2 linked regions of the Drosophila melanogaster genome follow. The protein of the gene in region 2 interacts with the protein of the main gene of each other region in a biochemical or structural test. Each region holds a gene or a part of one and is shown on either strand. Other genes may lie near its edges.

Region 1 (5,033 bases), 4.0 Mb from region 2:
ACAACCAAGGAAAAAGTAGAACACATTTCGGTTTCCTAGTGAAAACGCCATATTATTTCGCCTTTTTCAGCGAGCATTTCGTTTTCATTGTGCCATTTATGCCGCATGTTTATCTAAAACGGCTTGCCAAAATCGGCGAATCACGAACGGTGACTAATGCCAACCGATTCATGAAAATGGCAAGATCAATGCTGGATCGATGAGAATTATAAATGGCGACCGAGCAGCTGCCACCTTTTTCTGCAAAGTGCGCAAAAAAGAGAAGAAACCGCATGGACAAAGGCGAAAATTCTGGAATGCTAAAAACGCAAACACACGCGCCCTCACAAGCACACACACACATGCATATACTTAAATATATGTAAACCACGCTGCTGAAGCCAGGTCATTTTGGAGGGTGATTCGTATGTGCGAGCGAGGGAGACAACCACTGTGTCCGGGACGGCTTTGCGTGTGTTGGTTTTACCCGCTCACAAACACACGTGCCCGCACTTTGAATGCCGGTTGGCAACGTGTTTTTTTTTAGCTAAGTATATTTAATAAAAGGCCGCATAATGTATAAATTTATGAATGTTAGTTCTATTTATAAACAATGTTTATATGCCTTGACTGTATGTAAGGGAATCCAACATGTTTCTATAGCAGTATAGCATTAAAATTAAATGATCAGACATGCACGCATTTTTGTGTGGTTGTGTGGGGGGGGGGGAAGCCTCACATTTTTCCCAAGCTGGAATATTCCAGCAAAAGAGCAATGGCACTCAAAATAAATTACCAATTACGATGAGTAACTTGGACATTGATTTATTGGAAACAGAAACAATAAAAATCACAAGCAATGTCAAGACCCCGCAACGGATGACGCAAGTTTTCTCTCACACATACTCACTCAACCGAAAGTAGACTGTGACTGCAGTGAGTGGGAAGCGGCACGTTTTCCAGTGGAATATTCCAGATAATCACAATCAAGCATTAGGCATCAATATGCAATTAGTCAGAACTTCCAAAGTTTCTAGAATCTTAATTTGCCTAATTAATAGGCGCTCTATGATGCACCTTTGCAATTATGTATGTAAGTGTGCATCGAAGCGTTACTCACTGGGGTCGAAAGTTCGAGAAACCTTGCCTTCTTTGAGAGTATTGATTAAATAGTAAAGGGGCTACAAAAAACACGTGGTTTGATTTCAAATTATTTTCCGGCAAACTTAATCGAGGTGGTCGCACTTTTTTTAACAACGAAATAAATACTAAAATGTAAATAAACGCTTACCTTGTGTGTTGTTTCTTAGAAAGTACTAAAATATAACCGTTTAATTGCTACTTCACTTTTAATCTGCCGCACCTTCGATCAAACTGGCTGGCGTTTTTTTCTGAATTACACCCGTACAAAATTTGCGAATGCCTTTTATATACAAGCAAAAGTGTTACCAAAGCCATCAACAATTTTAGTACTAAATTCCCAGGGGTGTAACCGCAAAATTCTTGGCCACCCTAATAAGCGCTTCACACAGAAGTCCAGAAATGTTGACGCAGAACGTTCACACCGAAACTGTAAAGTCGTAGAAATTGGCTAATATGTAGTAGAAGCGCTGAACGTAGCTTGTTACTTTAAAAACCACATTTCCTATTCCTTTCTTAATGAATATAATTCATAATATAGGAATAATTAATGAAGGAACAGTGGAATATGGAACATGGGATTTTTTTATTTATAAATCTTTCGTTATATAAGGTTATTCTAGTTCTCCATCGGCACTTATTTGACGCACACGGCTGCCCAGCCATTTAACAACAGTGCTGTTCTTATTGATCGTGGTATTTTTTGGCGCTCTGGCAGAGGTCACTCTAAGTACATTTTGAGAGATCATTTTATGTTTAGTTTAATAATTAATACAACATTACAACAGGTTATGCCGGGCAGCCAGGATGAGTGCACTTCTAAACGAAATCCAGCGGATACTCGGGGACCTTCAGTCGGGGAAGGCAGCCAGCCGAAACAAGGGCATCCAACAGCTGGATGAAAAGCTCTCAAGTTGCCGAGAGGATCTGGATAAGTTGTTTCTTAGCAAAACTTCGGATATATCCTGGACCACAATCTTTGAAGCGTCGAAGGAGGCTCTCTTTAAGGTTCCTAGCCATTATCGTTAAACAATCAGTTCCATTTTAATTGTTAACCTAATGATAGCAAGCTGGAAATCTGGAGGATGTCAACGAGAAAGTATTCAAAACGCTGGCGGGAAAAAACTACTTGTACGATAATGTCCTCGAGAAGATCACACAATTCAACTTGGAAGGTAACTCCTAAACACTTAAACACGTTATTAAAGCTAACCTGTGATTTCCAGCGGGGTCGCAGACCTCCGGAAATGGGCATTTCCTGGCCAAAACAAGCATATTTAGTGCATTCGAGGATGGCATCAAGATGCGAGTGGTAGTCAAGTATTTTGGCGACCGCATTCTGAGCCTGCTGGAAAAGGGCATTTACTCATCGGTCAGCTATGTGCGCGACCTTAAAATTAACGAATACAGTAGTAAGTTACTTTCTGGCCCAAAAGAGACTCTTTTTTTTAATTTGATGATGTATTACAGGGATTCTCTCCTATCTTTTTGAACTGAATGTCGATATGGACGAGGTCTTGCGAACCAGAATACTGAAATGCATCACAAGAACCGTCAGTTTGGCCAAGGACCGGGTTCAGCTGCACGTGGATCTAGTGGAATATCTGCCGGAGCTCAGCAGCTTTGCGCTCTCCGCTTTTGGAGCCAGAAAAACTGAGATTGTTCGCGTCTACTTAATATTTGCATCAGAGGTAGGACTCTTATTATATCTTTAGATAATGTTAAAAACTTTGCAACAATCTTTCAGCTTGCTGTCAACTACAATCACCAATTGAACGTGCACATGCAGGAGATTCTACCTAAACTATGCGAGTATCATGACGAGGATGCGTTCCGGGACGACACCAGAAATCTGTTCTTTCAGTGCGTTTCAAAGTCGCTCCATTCAATGTATCTCAAAATGGATATGTGTGACTTTAATACACTCGGTGTGCCTGTTCATGAAAAGTGGCCGCAAACTTTACTGCGGCTGAAAACTATTGTCAATGTGGAGATCCGAAAGAATTCCTGGGCTCGCTGCAAGAACGCACTACTGAGCAATAATAAATTTTCTGACCCCTTCATCAAGATGTCTGCCCTGGCTATGTATATAGTACGTCGCATAAGCTAGTAATATTTAATATATTTAATTTTAATTATATTATTATTTGCAGGTGCTTTGGCACTTGGAGACGAAAAAGGCTGATGAAAATGGGGAAGGCGATGCGCCGAAAAAGATCCCGAAGCCTGCAGATAAAATGGAAACTATATTTAGTCTGATCGACAAAAAGGAAAACACCTTTAACGACGTCTGGCTTGCGATATTCACTGAGATACTTCAGCTGAGTAGCGTGATCCTAAATGTGGCCAACTACCAAATGGCGCTAACCACCGTGGCGGAAATAATGCAAATGTACGGCAATGCGAAAAATCTCCGGAACCTTCGGTTATGCCTGGCTCATCTTTTGACTAAAGAACAGGAGCTTTTGCACTCTAAATCTATTCGGGAGGATTTTCTGGGTGAGCTTTGGAGTCAAATGGCAAACCAGCTCATATCAGAGACAACAACAAACAGTGAGGAGATCAAGGAGAAGCAATTGGTGCTGCAGATGCTGATCAGACACAATAAACTAAATCAAAAGTTGTCCAGCACGCTGCTTAACAATATTATCTCGAATGAAATGCTAAAGCGCAACGAATGCTTAGCGACGATTCGAGAGATCTTCATCCATGCTGATAAATGTGGTCAAGATAAGGCGTCCGCTGACTTAGAACCCATCATAGCTTGGGCATACGGAAGTGCGGATAGATTCATCGCCGCTCAGATGATACACAATATAGACAGTATTGATGCCCAGTTGCAGGCGGATACTTTTGCAATCAGCATTATAAATTTTTTGGATGTCCAGCAATTGCGACAGATCTCTCAATCAGAACACATTGTTCCTTCCACCGAACGCAATCTTTTGGCCTACAAGTACAACGAACAGCTTATTTGCTTTGACAAGGACTACGCCACTCCTTTTGAGTCAATCACTCACATTCAGAGCGAAACAAAGAATTGTTTGATTCAATCCAATTATGATTGCCTAATGCGAGGCCTTAACTTTGAGATCGCGAAGGAGAACAAACCGGCGGCAATAATAAAAAACCTGAATAGTCTATTAAAGTTGATCTGCACAATGGAAAGGCTTTTGCATTACAAGGTTTTCGATGCAGATACCTATACTGGCTGTCCACTTATAAAAAGAATTGGACTATATCTCAGCCACATTGAGGTGGGTGCCAAATGAATAATCTTTCAAAAACTCGTTTTCTAATACCCATTTCAGTTCCAGCTCAAGGCGAACGGAGCTGAGATTTTAGATAAGAGCGATTTACCAGAGATTTTACGTCTGGAAATCTATGTACTTGATGTATTCAGGACGAATTTAGTCTTACTCGATTATTTGGAAAGGCAACCCATTGAAATGTTGGTGGAATTTGTTGGCGCTGCTCTCAAGTTGCATTGTAATGTAGTTTTCAATTAACGTATCGCTTTAATAATTGAAGAGTGGAATATTTTAGCCATGCAGAGGGAGCGATCTGTAGATGCAGATCATGGAACAATAACGCGTCTGTGCCTTAATATTTTGGCTGGTCTTTGTGCGTACAATTCGCACCGGGATGAAGCATTCGAGCACATAGTAAAGGTAACGATGCGTTGGCATCCACAGGATGTGCTTATTGTGACCAAGGTAGGAGTTATATCGTAACCAAAACAGAAATAATTTTGAAATCTCTTTAAGATGTTATGCAGCTGCCAAACGATTTCTGAAGCATCCAGCTCTTGGTTAGTGAGCAAATTGAAGACGCTTTTCCAGCAGCATCATCAGGATGCGGAATTGATGGACAAAGTGGTTCAACATATGCCCAGTGAGCTTATATATAATAGA
Region 2 (3,992 bases):
CTTTCCGAATTTTTGTTAACTTATTAACGTTTGTATTTGTTGAAATGCGTTCGGCATTCATTCCAATTCTATACATACTGAAAGCATGGCATAACTTATGCAATAGTCCATATCGAGGAGCATTAGTGTAATTGTAAGCTAAGCGAAAGATTTTGTGCAAAGGTAAATATAAATATTTAAAGATTTTTTAAAATTCAGCATGAACAAAACCAGAAAATAGCAACTAATTCTGACTGACATTTCCATGGACATTCCGCCGTGCGGTGGAAGTGCATTTGGTGAATCGTTTTTGCCACAGTTTGAAGCATCAAAATTATGAACGAAATAAAATTTAATTTGTTATTAGCATTTTTATACGTAAACCGAACTGAAAGAAGTTTTAATTCCGGTTGGATGGGTACTTATCATTCGTTTTTTGTTGGGTACAAACAAATAACCAATTAACATATTCGATTAGATTAACCTATTTCAATTATTTACAAAAGATTCCCATTGAAAATAATCTGCTATTGAACTGCCCAGTTTACTACTTCTTTACAAAAATATAATTTAATTTGAAAGACCACAAAATAAACCAGAATTGTATAGCTTGTTGTTCTCCTTATTGTTAAAAAGTTTTCTTGGAACAATACTCCATTTCAACAACGCTTCATAAGAATGGAAAGGTACATAAATAGACACATATGTATGTATATTAAAAACCATTAAATTCAACAATGTATGAGAATAGCGAAGAAAAACTTTTAGCTTTTTATCCCGAAAATGGTTCTATTTCAACTAGATTCAAATACTTGAATAAAATATTCTTTACAATTTTAGGAAAATATATTGTGCTTTTCAAAAAAATTGTTTTCGAACATCAGACAATATCGCCGTTCGCCCTAACGAGTGTCCACTGTGCGCATCTCTCACGCGACGAACGGCAACAGGTCGACACGTTTCGCTGAAATGGAAATAGCACCTGGGGCGCAGAGCCCCGCCCTTCAAGCAGATAAAGACGTACGTATTGCTTGACCTGGAATTAGATTATAGAATCCCAAATTCCAGCGAGAGCGGCGCATTTCATTAGCATGGTTGAGGTTAGGGCGAAGCCAACGTGAGAAACTGGGGCAAGTCGAACTGCAACGTGCAGAAAATCGTGTTCCACTGCGCATGACCTCCAAAATGTCCAATGACGGTAACGGTATTGGTGCGGGGCATGTGTACATCACTGTCAAAGGTCAATAACTCCGCGATTGCCCCAAAAAGCAGCAACAACACAAACTAACTGAAGTCTGTGACTCAGACGGTGGTGGCGCCCTCTCGTTCCCACTCACGCCGCCATATGGCGGCGTCTACCTACGCATAACTGCAGATTTGGAAAGAAGTACAGACATGCGGATTCACAGTTGTTTTGTATAGGTGTTCCGTTTAATTTCAGTACTGGTGTTCCCATTTTCGGTCTTCGTTGCTTTTTGATATCTTAGCGAAAATGCATACTAATTTGTAGGTGTTGCTATCAAATTATTATTTTAATTACAATAGGTGGCGCAATTGAATTGTTTAGCTCGCTGTGATTAAACAATAAACATACAATGTCGAATTTATAAGCGCTCCGGTAAAAAGAAATTAGATATAAAATCGCACTGATCGAAGACAGGCATTTTTGTCAGCGTTTTTAAACATAAATTTAAGACTTTCAAAATTGTAACTAAGCATCTGATAAATATGTATATGTGTGTAGAAGGTATGCATGAGTATAGGTTCCGTTTTGTTTGGGGGATTGGGATCCATCTAGCATTTCTCCTCCTCCAGACCGTGCTTGAAGAACATGAGCACGGGCACGCTGTCGCCGTTGATTTCGCGGTATTCCACCAGGGCCACCATGCCGTCGCAGTCCATAGATTCGCCGGTGAAGAACTGCAGCTCCTTGAAGCGGCCAAGGATGTCCTTCATGGCCTTGTTCATGTTGGTCTTGAAGATGTCGACCTGGTCGGGCGACTTCTCCTCCAGCTTGGCCAGCACCTTCTTCATGTAGTCCTTCAGGTAGAGGGTGTACGACTTCTTGTCGCCGAAGGCGAAGCACTCCGTCAGTCGGTGGTTAAGCACAACATCCACGCCAGACTCCGAGGTGATATCAGTGCCCTCGTCGGCCTCCTCGGCGGATGCGTTGGCGCCCTCCAGCTTGATATCGTCACCCTGGCGGGTGATCAGCTTTCCGTACACCTCGTAGATCACATCATCCACCAGCTTCATCTTGTAGGTGTCGGCAAACATCTCGTCGCCGGTGATGATATCCTTGTAGATCTTCATGGTGATTGGCTTGTCGGGAGTCGGAAGATGGCGTCTAAATCGCTGGCGAAAATGCAACTACAACTGCACCGGACCGGGAACACTGCGAAACGACCTGCCACGCGCTCACTCGAACAGCAAAAAGAATGAGCGAGAAAAAATGGCGAAAGAACTGCCAACTCGCTTGGGAGTGGTAACGATTGATCCGGGAGTGGCAGCGCCTACTATACACGTATCGATAATTTCAATGTTTTCTTCGATTTATTGTTAGTTAAGAGCAGGGAATATTAACAAGGCGAACAAAATTATTATAGCTATAATATTGATGTTTCTTACGTATATTTATGGCCATTCTAACTTTTAATAATTTGAGACTGTTTCAGTAAAAAAGATAAATATGTGTAATATTCTCAATTGGAATAATATAAAAGTGGGAACAGAATTAATCATATAAAGTAATAACAATGTTTTACAGTTGATATAAAATCAATACTTTCGAGACTTATTTGTTTTTTACCAACGTAGTGGCATCCCTGTTTGCGGTAATATCGCGCAGTCAGTGTACGGTCCCATCAATACAAGTTCGAGTGAAAAACAGGGAAATGTACGTAATTTCTGTGATGGCACTGCAAAAACCCTGATTTGTGACTGCTTTTTGCAGGTATGCACTCTCCAGTTCTTTGATCCGCTCTCCGGCGCTGCGCCAGGGCCTCCAGATGGCCGCTGCCAGCCGCCCGGTATCGATGAAGGTGGTTTCCGTGGCCGAAACCCAGAAGGACGAGTCGTTCTTCGAGAAGAACGAGCGCTTGGGCAGGGAGCTGTCGCCCCATCTGACCATCTACCAACCGCAGCTGACCTCCATGCTCTCGATCTGTCACCGCGGCACAGGATTGGCCCTGGGTGTGGGTGTTTGGGGTCTGGGATTGGGCGCTCTGATCTCGTCCCACGACATTAGCCACTATGTGACCATGGTGGAGGGCCTCCAGCTGAGTGGCGCCACTCTGACCGCCCTCAAGTTTATCATCGCCTATCCGGCTGGCTATCACACCGCCAATGGTATTAGGCATCTCCTCTGGGACACCGGACGGTTCCTGAAGATCAAGGAGGTTTACTCCACCGGTTACGCAATGGTCGCCACCTCTTTCGTGCTATCCGCTATCTTGGCCCTGCTCTAAGTCCAAGACCCCAGCTAAACCTATTACATTTTAGTGCGAACACTGTGTGAAAATTGTTATATACTAAATACATGTAGTGTGTATATTTATAAAGGTGTTTGTTGTGTTACGCAATCCATTTTGTTGCTTTGGGCGTGCTGCATACGTTTGTTGTGCGCTGCAATTTGCACGGTGTGCGTGTTTTTAACGATTTCGGTGATTTGTAGAGTGAATTCAGTGTGGAGGCCGGTTAAATAGACATCTTGCGGTCCATTGACAGCGAAATCAAGTATACGCCCCGAACAAGCGATTTCCGATAGCAGAATATTACTTACATGCGCCCAAAAGTAGGGAATACTTTTTATAGGCTTAAATTTACATGAAAAATTAAAACCAAATGCAAAAGGGCTCCGAAAATGTATTTATTTAAGAGTAGCTCTTTGGCTTCCCTAACTATAGAAAAGTCTTCTAAAGATCCTTTTACTTCGGAACTGAAGAATCTTTTTATTAGATGGGGGATTCAGTTCATGTACAGAATCTATATAAAATATGTATATCCTTAATTTT

The links.
Region 1: the proteins of Tctp (region 2) and tefu interact in a test that uses a peptide from one of them, tested with the Drosophila melanogaster proteins (one study listed by BioGRID).

The regions. Positions count from the first base shown.
Region 1 is NT_033777.3:15,239,037-15,244,069, reverse strand, and holds the start of tefu (telomere fusion), read left to right. Parts: upstream 1-1,833; 5' UTR 1,834-1,849; intron 1,850-1,907; 5' UTR 1,908-1,926; coding exon 1,927-2,127; intron 2,128-2,185; coding exon 2,186-2,294; intron 2,295-2,345; coding exon 2,346-2,531; intron 2,532-2,589; coding exon 2,590-2,810; intron 2,811-2,866; coding exon 2,867-3,211; intron 3,212-3,272; coding exon 3,273-4,376; intron 4,377-4,430; coding exon 4,431-4,608; intron 4,609-4,665; coding exon 4,666-4,835; intron 4,836-4,886; coding exon 4,887-5,013; intron 5,014-5,033. UniProt on the Drosophila melanogaster protein: Serine/threonine-protein kinase which recognizes the substrate consensus sequence [ST]-Q. Required to suppress spontaneous apoptosis of proliferating cells during development, and for their proper differentiation. Required for female fertility.
Region 2 is NT_033777.3:11,208,681-11,212,672, reverse strand, and holds Tctp (translationally controlled tumor protein), read right to left. Parts: upstream 2,427-3,992; 5' UTR 2,293-2,426; coding exon 1,774-2,292; 3' UTR 775-1,773; downstream 1-774. Other genes in the region: SdhC (succinate dehydrogenase, subunit C), read left to right, coding at 2,874-2,875, 2,933-3,446. UniProt on the Drosophila melanogaster protein: Involved in calcium binding and microtubule stabilization.